2 linked regions of the Bombyx mori genome follow. The protein of the gene in region 2 purifies or fractionates together with the protein of the main gene of each other region. This does not show direct contact. Links are inferred from orthologs where the notes say so. Each region holds a gene or a part of one and is shown on either strand. Other genes may lie near its edges.

The links. Proteins that work in one complex are often made in the same cells at the same time.
Region 1: the proteins of transcriptional adapter 2B (region 2) and transcription-associated protein 1 purify together in Drosophila melanogaster (affinity purification with western blotting; 4 studies listed by BioGRID, with this or other methods). This does not show direct contact. The link is inferred for Bombyx mori from reciprocal best matches to the Drosophila melanogaster genes Ada2b and Nipped-A.

Annotation. Positions count from the first base shown.
Region 1 is NC_085110.1:5,827,481-5,830,980, reverse strand, and holds part of transcription-associated protein 1, read right to left. Parts: intron 3,472-3,500; coding exon 3,295-3,471; intron 2,650-3,294; coding exon 2,443-2,649; intron 2,364-2,442; coding exon 2,220-2,363; intron 2,136-2,219; coding exon 1,887-2,135; intron 1,604-1,886; coding exon 1,340-1,603; intron 1,060-1,339; coding exon 946-1,059; intron 860-945; coding exon 666-859; intron 370-665; coding exon 131-369; intron 1-130. UniProt on the Drosophila melanogaster protein: Part of the Tip60 chromatin-remodeling complex which is involved in DNA repair. Upon induction of DNA double-strand breaks, this complex acetylates phosphorylated H2AV in nucleosomes and exchanges it with unmodified H2AV.
Region 2 is NC_085131.1:6,658,571-6,662,925, forward strand, and holds the start of transcriptional adapter 2B, read right to left. Parts: upstream 3,011-4,355; 5' UTR 2,905-3,010; coding exon 2,794-2,904; intron 2,699-2,793; coding exon 2,639-2,698; intron 2,562-2,638; coding exon 2,420-2,561; intron 1,683-2,419; exon of another isoform or gene 1,072-1,682; coding exon 854-1,071; exon of another isoform or gene 782-853; coding exon 709-781; exon of another isoform or gene 386-708; coding exon 232-385; exon of another isoform or gene 1-231. UniProt on the Drosophila melanogaster protein: Component of several Gcn5-containing histone acetyltransferase complexes that regulate nucleosome organization; involved in acetylation of histone H3, particularly on Lys-10 (H3K9ac) and Lys-15 (H3K14ac).

The sequences.
Region 1 (3,500 bases), on a different chromosome or scaffold from region 2:
TCAAGGTAGGTGGCAGCATTTATGTTGTAGATGTATATGGGCTCCAGTAACCAATTAACACCAGGTAGGCTGTAAAGCTCGTTCACCCATCTATGCAATAAACAAAAAAAAAAGCTCCAAAATAACTTACTGGGCGCACAGGTGACCAATAGCAGTTCGAGGCACTGTTTAATCCAGAAGTGTTGTCCTATGTGCTCCCAGTTCTGCGAGCACACGACGTACAGCAGGCGGTCGAACACGCGCCGCCGCACGCTCTGGTCGTACACCTCAAAGAACTTGGCGCGGATCTGTGGCTGCGGGCAACGGAGACCCGCCAGGAAAGCGGGCTCCAACTTCATGGATAGTTCCGTCACCTTCAGCTGTTCATCCCTGCGTGATCGTATACAAATATTAGGATCTGTTAATCCAAGGTAGGTTGTTACTTTCATAATGCCGGAACCACACTGCGTTATGCGCTATTCGTTATGTGACTACGCCGTATTCGCCAAAATAATTGTTATGCGCGCAAACAACAAACATGCCATCCACACTTCGAATTTGTACGCTGAATTATGCCAAATAAGGCAAATATGAATACCGGCAAACGAATAGCGAATAACGCAGTGTGGTTCCGGCATAAAATAAATAGCATTTTTTGTATGTATAATATTCGTAAATCAACTTACCGATACACGTAGTTGATCAGTTCTAAAAATTGAGCATTGAGCTCGAGGTCGTCAGGGAAACGTTTCTCGACATATTGCATTAGTTTCACGAGCAGTATTGACTTTTCGCGCAGGGAAGGTACGGCCCCGCTGCTAGTGGTCGCGCCGCGGTGCATCACCCACTCCTCAACCATACGAATGATCGCTTTCATTACCTAAAAAATAAAATTTATTGAAGCTAATTCACGGCAAATCTTATTGTATGTTAACTACAAAATGAATAATTGATAAGTAATTTTACCTTAGAATCTGTAGTCTTTTCGATAAGACCAACTAGAACAGTTCCTATGAAGGTTTTTTTCGTATCGCCCGGCATCACGGAAACGCGAGCCTTTAGCAAGTCTAAGGCCAATATCTGAAAAGACGAAATATAGTATTAGAGAAATTATGAAAATGCGTTAAAAAAACATTGCACACAATCCAACAGATCTCAAGTGGCTATCGACGTTTTTAGATATTACAACGTGAATAACGTCGCCCGTCTTAAGACGAAGTTAAAATCTCAATTGGAACCATTGAGCTCCTTCACAATAAGTTTCGAGATATACAGTTTCGTAGCCGACATAAGCAAAATGATTACGCACCTACTATTATATTTTTAAAGGGTCCAGATAAAGCAATAAAGTTATACGAACCAACAAATCGGATATGGCTGCATCGGGGTTGGTGGCGACGTGGTCCCTAGCCATGCGCTGCAGGACGCGCATGAGCGGGAGCAGCAGGCGGTCGATGTAGGCGGGGCTGGAGGAGCAGCACGCCTTCAGCATCATGAGCGGCCCCAGCAGCGCGCCCGCGCCCGACGTGCCGCCCGTGCCGCTGCCCGCCGTCTTCTCGTACGCCGCCAGACCCTCGAACGCGTACTTGCTCACGCACGCGTATAGTGTTTCGAGCTCCTCGTACTATAATGGAAAATATATTAAAACTCGACCGTCACTAGACCATTTGATAGCGATTTTTGCATAAATAAATCACACAGCGCATAATAATAATAATATGTGTGAATGATATAACGTTTTGTTAATAGGGAGCGACCTAATCTAAATTAAATTACCGCCTTCCATGCACGTCGATAATAAGAGATTTGCAGAAACAGAGTAAAAAACTCTCACATTTTTTAAAATACTACACGAATATTATGCATGTATCGATCTGACCTCACACCTCAATATTGACGACACTCGCCTTAGAAGCTTGCGCGGCCCCCGTGGGCTCCGTAGGGAAGATGGCGGTAAGCTTGGCGAGCAAGTTGTGCGTCAGTCGCACGATTTTGGCATTAGTGGACGCGACGCAGGCGGCCAGCCCGCGCTGCAGCGGCTTCAGCGCCGCCAGGATCTGATCTCGACGCAGCACGCCCAGCAGGAACACCAGCAGCTCGAGCGCCGTGCAGGCATTGGCGCATGATGCCGCGTTTGTCTCTGCACTTGAGAAAACCTAAGCAGCAAATATTTATACTTGTAAATTAACAAAGGCGTCATTTGAATATTCTTGTAGTATTCTGTAATTACATGTTCATACTTTATCAAGCCAGGCAAGCTTAGGCTCGCAGAGGTGTGGCCAAACGTCGGGTTTGAGAGCAGTCTTAAGAAGAAGAACGCATCTTCGCGATAGCTGCTCTCCTGCGGTCGCACCTCCGCTTCCGGAAACGGTACCCTCGTTCATCTGAAAAAAGAAGAGCAGAAATAAAAACGGCTCAATTAAGAGACGGAGGATGCTTGTTTCAAAAACACTAGAGGGTTACCGTTTGGCACACCTGGCAAGCCAGTCGCAGTAGCAGGTTGACAACGACATCTACGTGTTGTCTGTCGAGCGGCTTGGCGGCGTCGGGCTCGAGCCTGGAGGCGCTGGCCTGCGGGCTCGCCCAGCCCGTGTTCAACGCCTTGCGACCCTCCGAGCTCGCGTCATCGGACGACACGCGCTTCATGGCGCCGCCCGGAGATGTCGCCACCTGTCCACAAACAATCCATTAAACAATCTATTGGATAGAATATTAAACACTACAGAAACCTTGTTAAATTCGTGCCATGTAGATCACAATGTTTAAACTTTATTAATTCATTATTTTCTGTATGTCAGGTGGTGCCTTTGTGGTGCCTTACAAGTAAAAACACAAACAAAACCATGTCACAGTGAACTAGAGGCTGAACAACAATTATAGCATTTTACTTATTACATATTACTTACTGGTGGTAGGAGCTCTTGTGAGTCTGTGCGGGTAGGTAGCACAGCCCTGCCTATTTCTGCCATGAAGCAGTAATGCGTTTCGGTTTGAAGGGTGGGGCAGCCGTTGTAACTATACTGAGATCTTAGAACTTATATCTCAAGGTGGGTGGCGCATTTACGTTGTAGATGTATATGGGCTCCAGTAACCACTTAATACCATGTGGGCTGTAAGCTCGTCCACCCATCTAAGCAATAAAAAAAAAGTTATATAATAACATTTTTTACAATTTACTGTTAGCGATAAAAATTGGAAGAACTTTTACTTGTCAGAGATCTGTTTCTTATTGTTCTTATGGCAGTGAAATATGTAACGATCAGTTAAGTTGAGATCTGTTATTAGGAACATATCAGGAAGATGTAGTGTACGTACGATGTTGTCGTCGGGCAGTGCGTGGTCCCGGATGCGCTGCAGGTCCCACTTGAGCACCACCTCGGCCAAGTCCACGGCGAGCCGGCGGTGCTCCAGCGAGGCGGTCGCAGAGAAGCCGAGCCGCTGCATGGCGCCCACCATGTGTCCCACCAGCGCGTGCCGCACCGGGTAGTACACCTGCACGTCACGTTGCTAATCATATCTAC
Region 2 (4,355 bases):
TCAAAATACATTAAATCAATAAAAATAAAAACATTACACACACACACGAATGCATATTATTTGTTTATTGTCAAACTTTTCTTTTTGCTTATAGTCTGTGGTCAAATTGAGAATAGATTAAATATTGTTTGTCTTTTTTAATATTTGTCTAAATTGTGTCAAAACACGAAAATCATAACATATCTATATACTACACATTTGAAATACTTCAAAAATATTATTGGTACATACTTTTTTTCTTTGGCAAGTTTTCCTAGGGTCTTCTGTTTATTCCTCTGATTGTTGAAGAAGACAGACACTAACTGGAAATCTCTAACTAATCTTTTTCGTCTCGTTCTCTCTCTCAGTCTTCTGATGTATATATCAACTTGTGATAGCTTTAGTGCTATAAAAAATAAAAAAAACGGGATATGTCATTTTTTATTTATTATATATATCTTATATGTATTTAACTAAGCTATGAGACGTTTTAAAATCATAAAATAGATATACAGATCTTATAAAGCTTTTAGTCTAGCCTGTTCATAATATGTATCAAATAAGAGACGTCTCAGAGTGAATAATTCATATGTAAATTTCAAGCTCAAGGTCGGCAGTCTATCAGTCATTATTATGATTTTTTTAAAAGGATATTATTATATTAAAAACCACATATTTTATCAACCAAAAACCACTTATCTATTGAATATATATCTATATATAACCTACCAACATCTAATTCATCATCTTCTGGATTTAATGATAATGTTGAGATCAACTGCTCTGCCTCATGATCATGTTCCTGAAATTTCGACACTTTGTAGAACAATATTTTAATTTATTATAGTAAATAGTACAAAAAATTCATTCTTACTCTTTCAAAATCATCTCTATTTGGCATATACCCAAGTTGTGCTGCTTCGTCTACTGTTATAGCTAGGTTTGGTAGTCGAGACACTGCAGTTGGACCAAGTGGGCCATCATCTTTATCTGCACAATGTAGTGATGGGCGAGATGTACTTTCAATATTGCCCCATGTTGCTTTGCCTATGGTGCCTTCCAGGTACCTAGTAATGTATTCATCTTTTGCTTCTGTAATTGAAATTTATGTTTATTTGTTATTATTATTTATTTGTCTTTCTTATAACAATGATGTAAATGAAAGGATTTGATTCGAGCCCTACACCCCAGCAGAGGGTAATAGGAAAGAACGATGATTATGATTATTATTTATTTTTATTATTATATTTAATTAATAAATTTATATATAGTATGATAATTCTTTGGTAATCTTTCTAAAGTTCAGCACTACTGTACCACTGCCACCATGTGAAGCAGAACCTCCTTTGCTCTACCTATAGTCGCAGTTCAGTATATTTGTTTACAATGCTTCCATCGCTGTTACAGGTTTAGGAAGGAGTTTAGAAGAGTGCAGAGGTCTTAAAGAATCTGAGATTGACATGGTCAGTCCTTTTGCGGTGTCAATTTTTAGAAGTATTCTCAACAGATTTAAATAATTACTTCTCACCCTATTTATTATTTTTAGTACTGGTGTTAAATCGTTGATTTGAACTTATGGGATGATTTATTTCCAAATTATTCTTTTTTACTTGTGAAAATAAAGGATATGCATCATGTAAATTTAATCCCAACAAAATTTATTTAATGTAAATGTTTAATATATATTTCTTATTCTTGTTTAATATATATTTTGAGCTTCCATAGCCCATGAAAAAATCCTGTCTTAACATTGCATGTGGTGAGTTTATATACATTATTGAATGGTTGTGACCATGCTGTCACCATTAAATATGCAAAGTTACTATATCAAGGGAGTAAAAGGCTATTCGGTTTAAATGACATTTTTGACAACTTTACAGGAAGGCCATTCAAAGCTTAAAAATTGGAAAAAATATCATAACCAAAAAACGTCTTCAGCTATTTGAATGGAGTAAACGTAAATTGAAATTCAACTAAAAACATCGAACTGTTGATACCAAGTATACCTTTAATTACTAAGGTAATGTACGTTATACCAAATAGCATTTCACCCCTCGATATTATAAAACTGAGACTTAGTAATCATGCCTAAAGGTGGCTAGTAACATTTACGTAGTTGAAATCTCTTGAATCCCGTAACCACCTAACAACAACAGGTAGACGGTAAGCACGTCTACCCAAATATAAAAGCTGAAGCTTTAAAAAAAATTGAAATTCGAAATATTCACCATATTTTATTCAACAATGTTTTTTCGTTGCAGAAGCTATTTTTGAAAATTGTTATTGCATTTAGATAAAAAGTTACAAATAATAGTATGCATATACTAGGTATTCTTTGCCAAGGCATGCAATGTATGCTGTTTGATGCCAATGTTGAAAAATGAACCGAAGCACAGTGCTAAGACAGCAGATTACTGAGTAGCTTATATCATTAAATTACCTTCAGGAGTTCTTGTTTCAATATGTTTTGCTATATCCTCCCAGTTACCAAAGCCGAATTGTTCTATGGCATCTAATAATCTTACTTCTTCGTTAGCTGACCAGCTACTACGTCCTAAAAATATTCCAAAAGCCCCAGAGTCCTGGAAAAATAGAACACTCTTGAAAATCTATTTACTTTCTGTAATAGTATTACAGTAGTCGTTTATAAAGTGCTTACCACAAACTGATATGAATGATCGTTTTTGTGCTGTCCGATTTCAGCACCAAGAGAAAAACACTGAAAATGCATTTTATTGCATATTAATTTCTAAGTGACAATTTTAAATTTTGCGCCAAAACTATCAACAAAAATGGCAGTATCAACTACTTTACCTGCAAACAAATATCAAAATCAACACATTCAGTACATTTAACTCTTACGCCGTTTATTTCCTCTTGACAATATGTACAATTATATTTAGCGTAAAGATCTGAAAATGACATGATTTTTATTACAGTGAAAACAAACTTTAAACTTGTACGTTGGCAGGCTTCAGATTAGCGCACAAATTTCCAAAGCCATTTTACGTTTTTTATTCCCAAACATTTTGAGTTACCAGAGTAATAAAACATATTTTGTAAAATATTTTATTTCCTAAAACTTAACTACGCATTCTAACATGTTGAATAGATTTGAATCTACTATGTATTTGAAAATTAATTTGGTAGCGCAAGATTGGAGTAACACTACCCTATCCGGTCATCGGCGAGAAAATTAACCCACAGACACAGTTCACCGAGTTTCTCGCCGGATCTTCACAGTGGGTCGCGTTTCCGATCCGGTAGTAGATTCTGCGAAGCACTGCTCTTGCTAGGGTTAGTGTTAGCAAAATCGTCAGGTTTGAGCCCCGTGAGCTCACCTACTTGTTAGGTTTGACTGACATAGCCTCTCAAGGCTATCGGCTTAGGTAGAAAAAAAAACTACCCTATCGCTTCCCGTTGTTGTCACAAAATACAACTAAGAAAACTGAACAATGAACGATGCACAGAAATAATAAACCAATATAGGTCTTGCGATCGACAAGAGGCTTATATTAGTGTATTTCTTCCATGAAACCATCATGCATTCTAGTTTGAAGTGTGAGACAGTTTTTACAGTTACAGTTTACAGACAGTTCGACAAAATCAAAATCCTGTTTTGTTTGTAATTTAATGCTCTCATTTAGAAAACCGTATTACTGTGTGAAAAAGATTTTTAACGTTAAGCTAAGACGCATCATTCCTGTCGAATGTCTGATAAGACGTATTTTTACTACAATATCTCTTCCTAACGCAAGTATAGAAAAGGACGGTGATATTAAAATTCACGATGTACAGTATAATTTGCAAATTAATAGTCGAACTTACCAGGCAACCATAGACGTAAAATATAGACCTAAGCTAAATTTGAACCAGGAAACTGTTACTAGTCTTACAAATAGTGATAATTCCAATGAAATTCGTTAATTTCTAGTTTAAAAGCAGCTCTCTTATAATACTGCATATTAATCTGTGATAGTAACATGCTCCTTATGAGCGTTGCTGTAAGTGGTAAAAAGAAAACTACTACTTAATGGAACATGTAAATCCAAAATAATTTCTAACTAGTCTGTAGCTCCAAAACCTTACTACAGATTTGACCTAAAGGTTGTAAATACCAGGTCTGAAATCCCAAAAAAAAAACTTACTACAGATTATATTCTGTTGTATATGACAGCGAAATGTTTTTAATTCAAGTTTTCTCAAATCTTGCTTGAGCGTAGACAGAGAATCTATACATAAATGAATACAAAATTAAACTTTATTGTTACAACACAACAGCAAGGCATCTAAATATCTCGGTACCTTTAAAACTTAAAATTTGTGGTTCAACCTAGTAAATCTACAAATTATAGTAAAGTTGTGCTTAACATGTG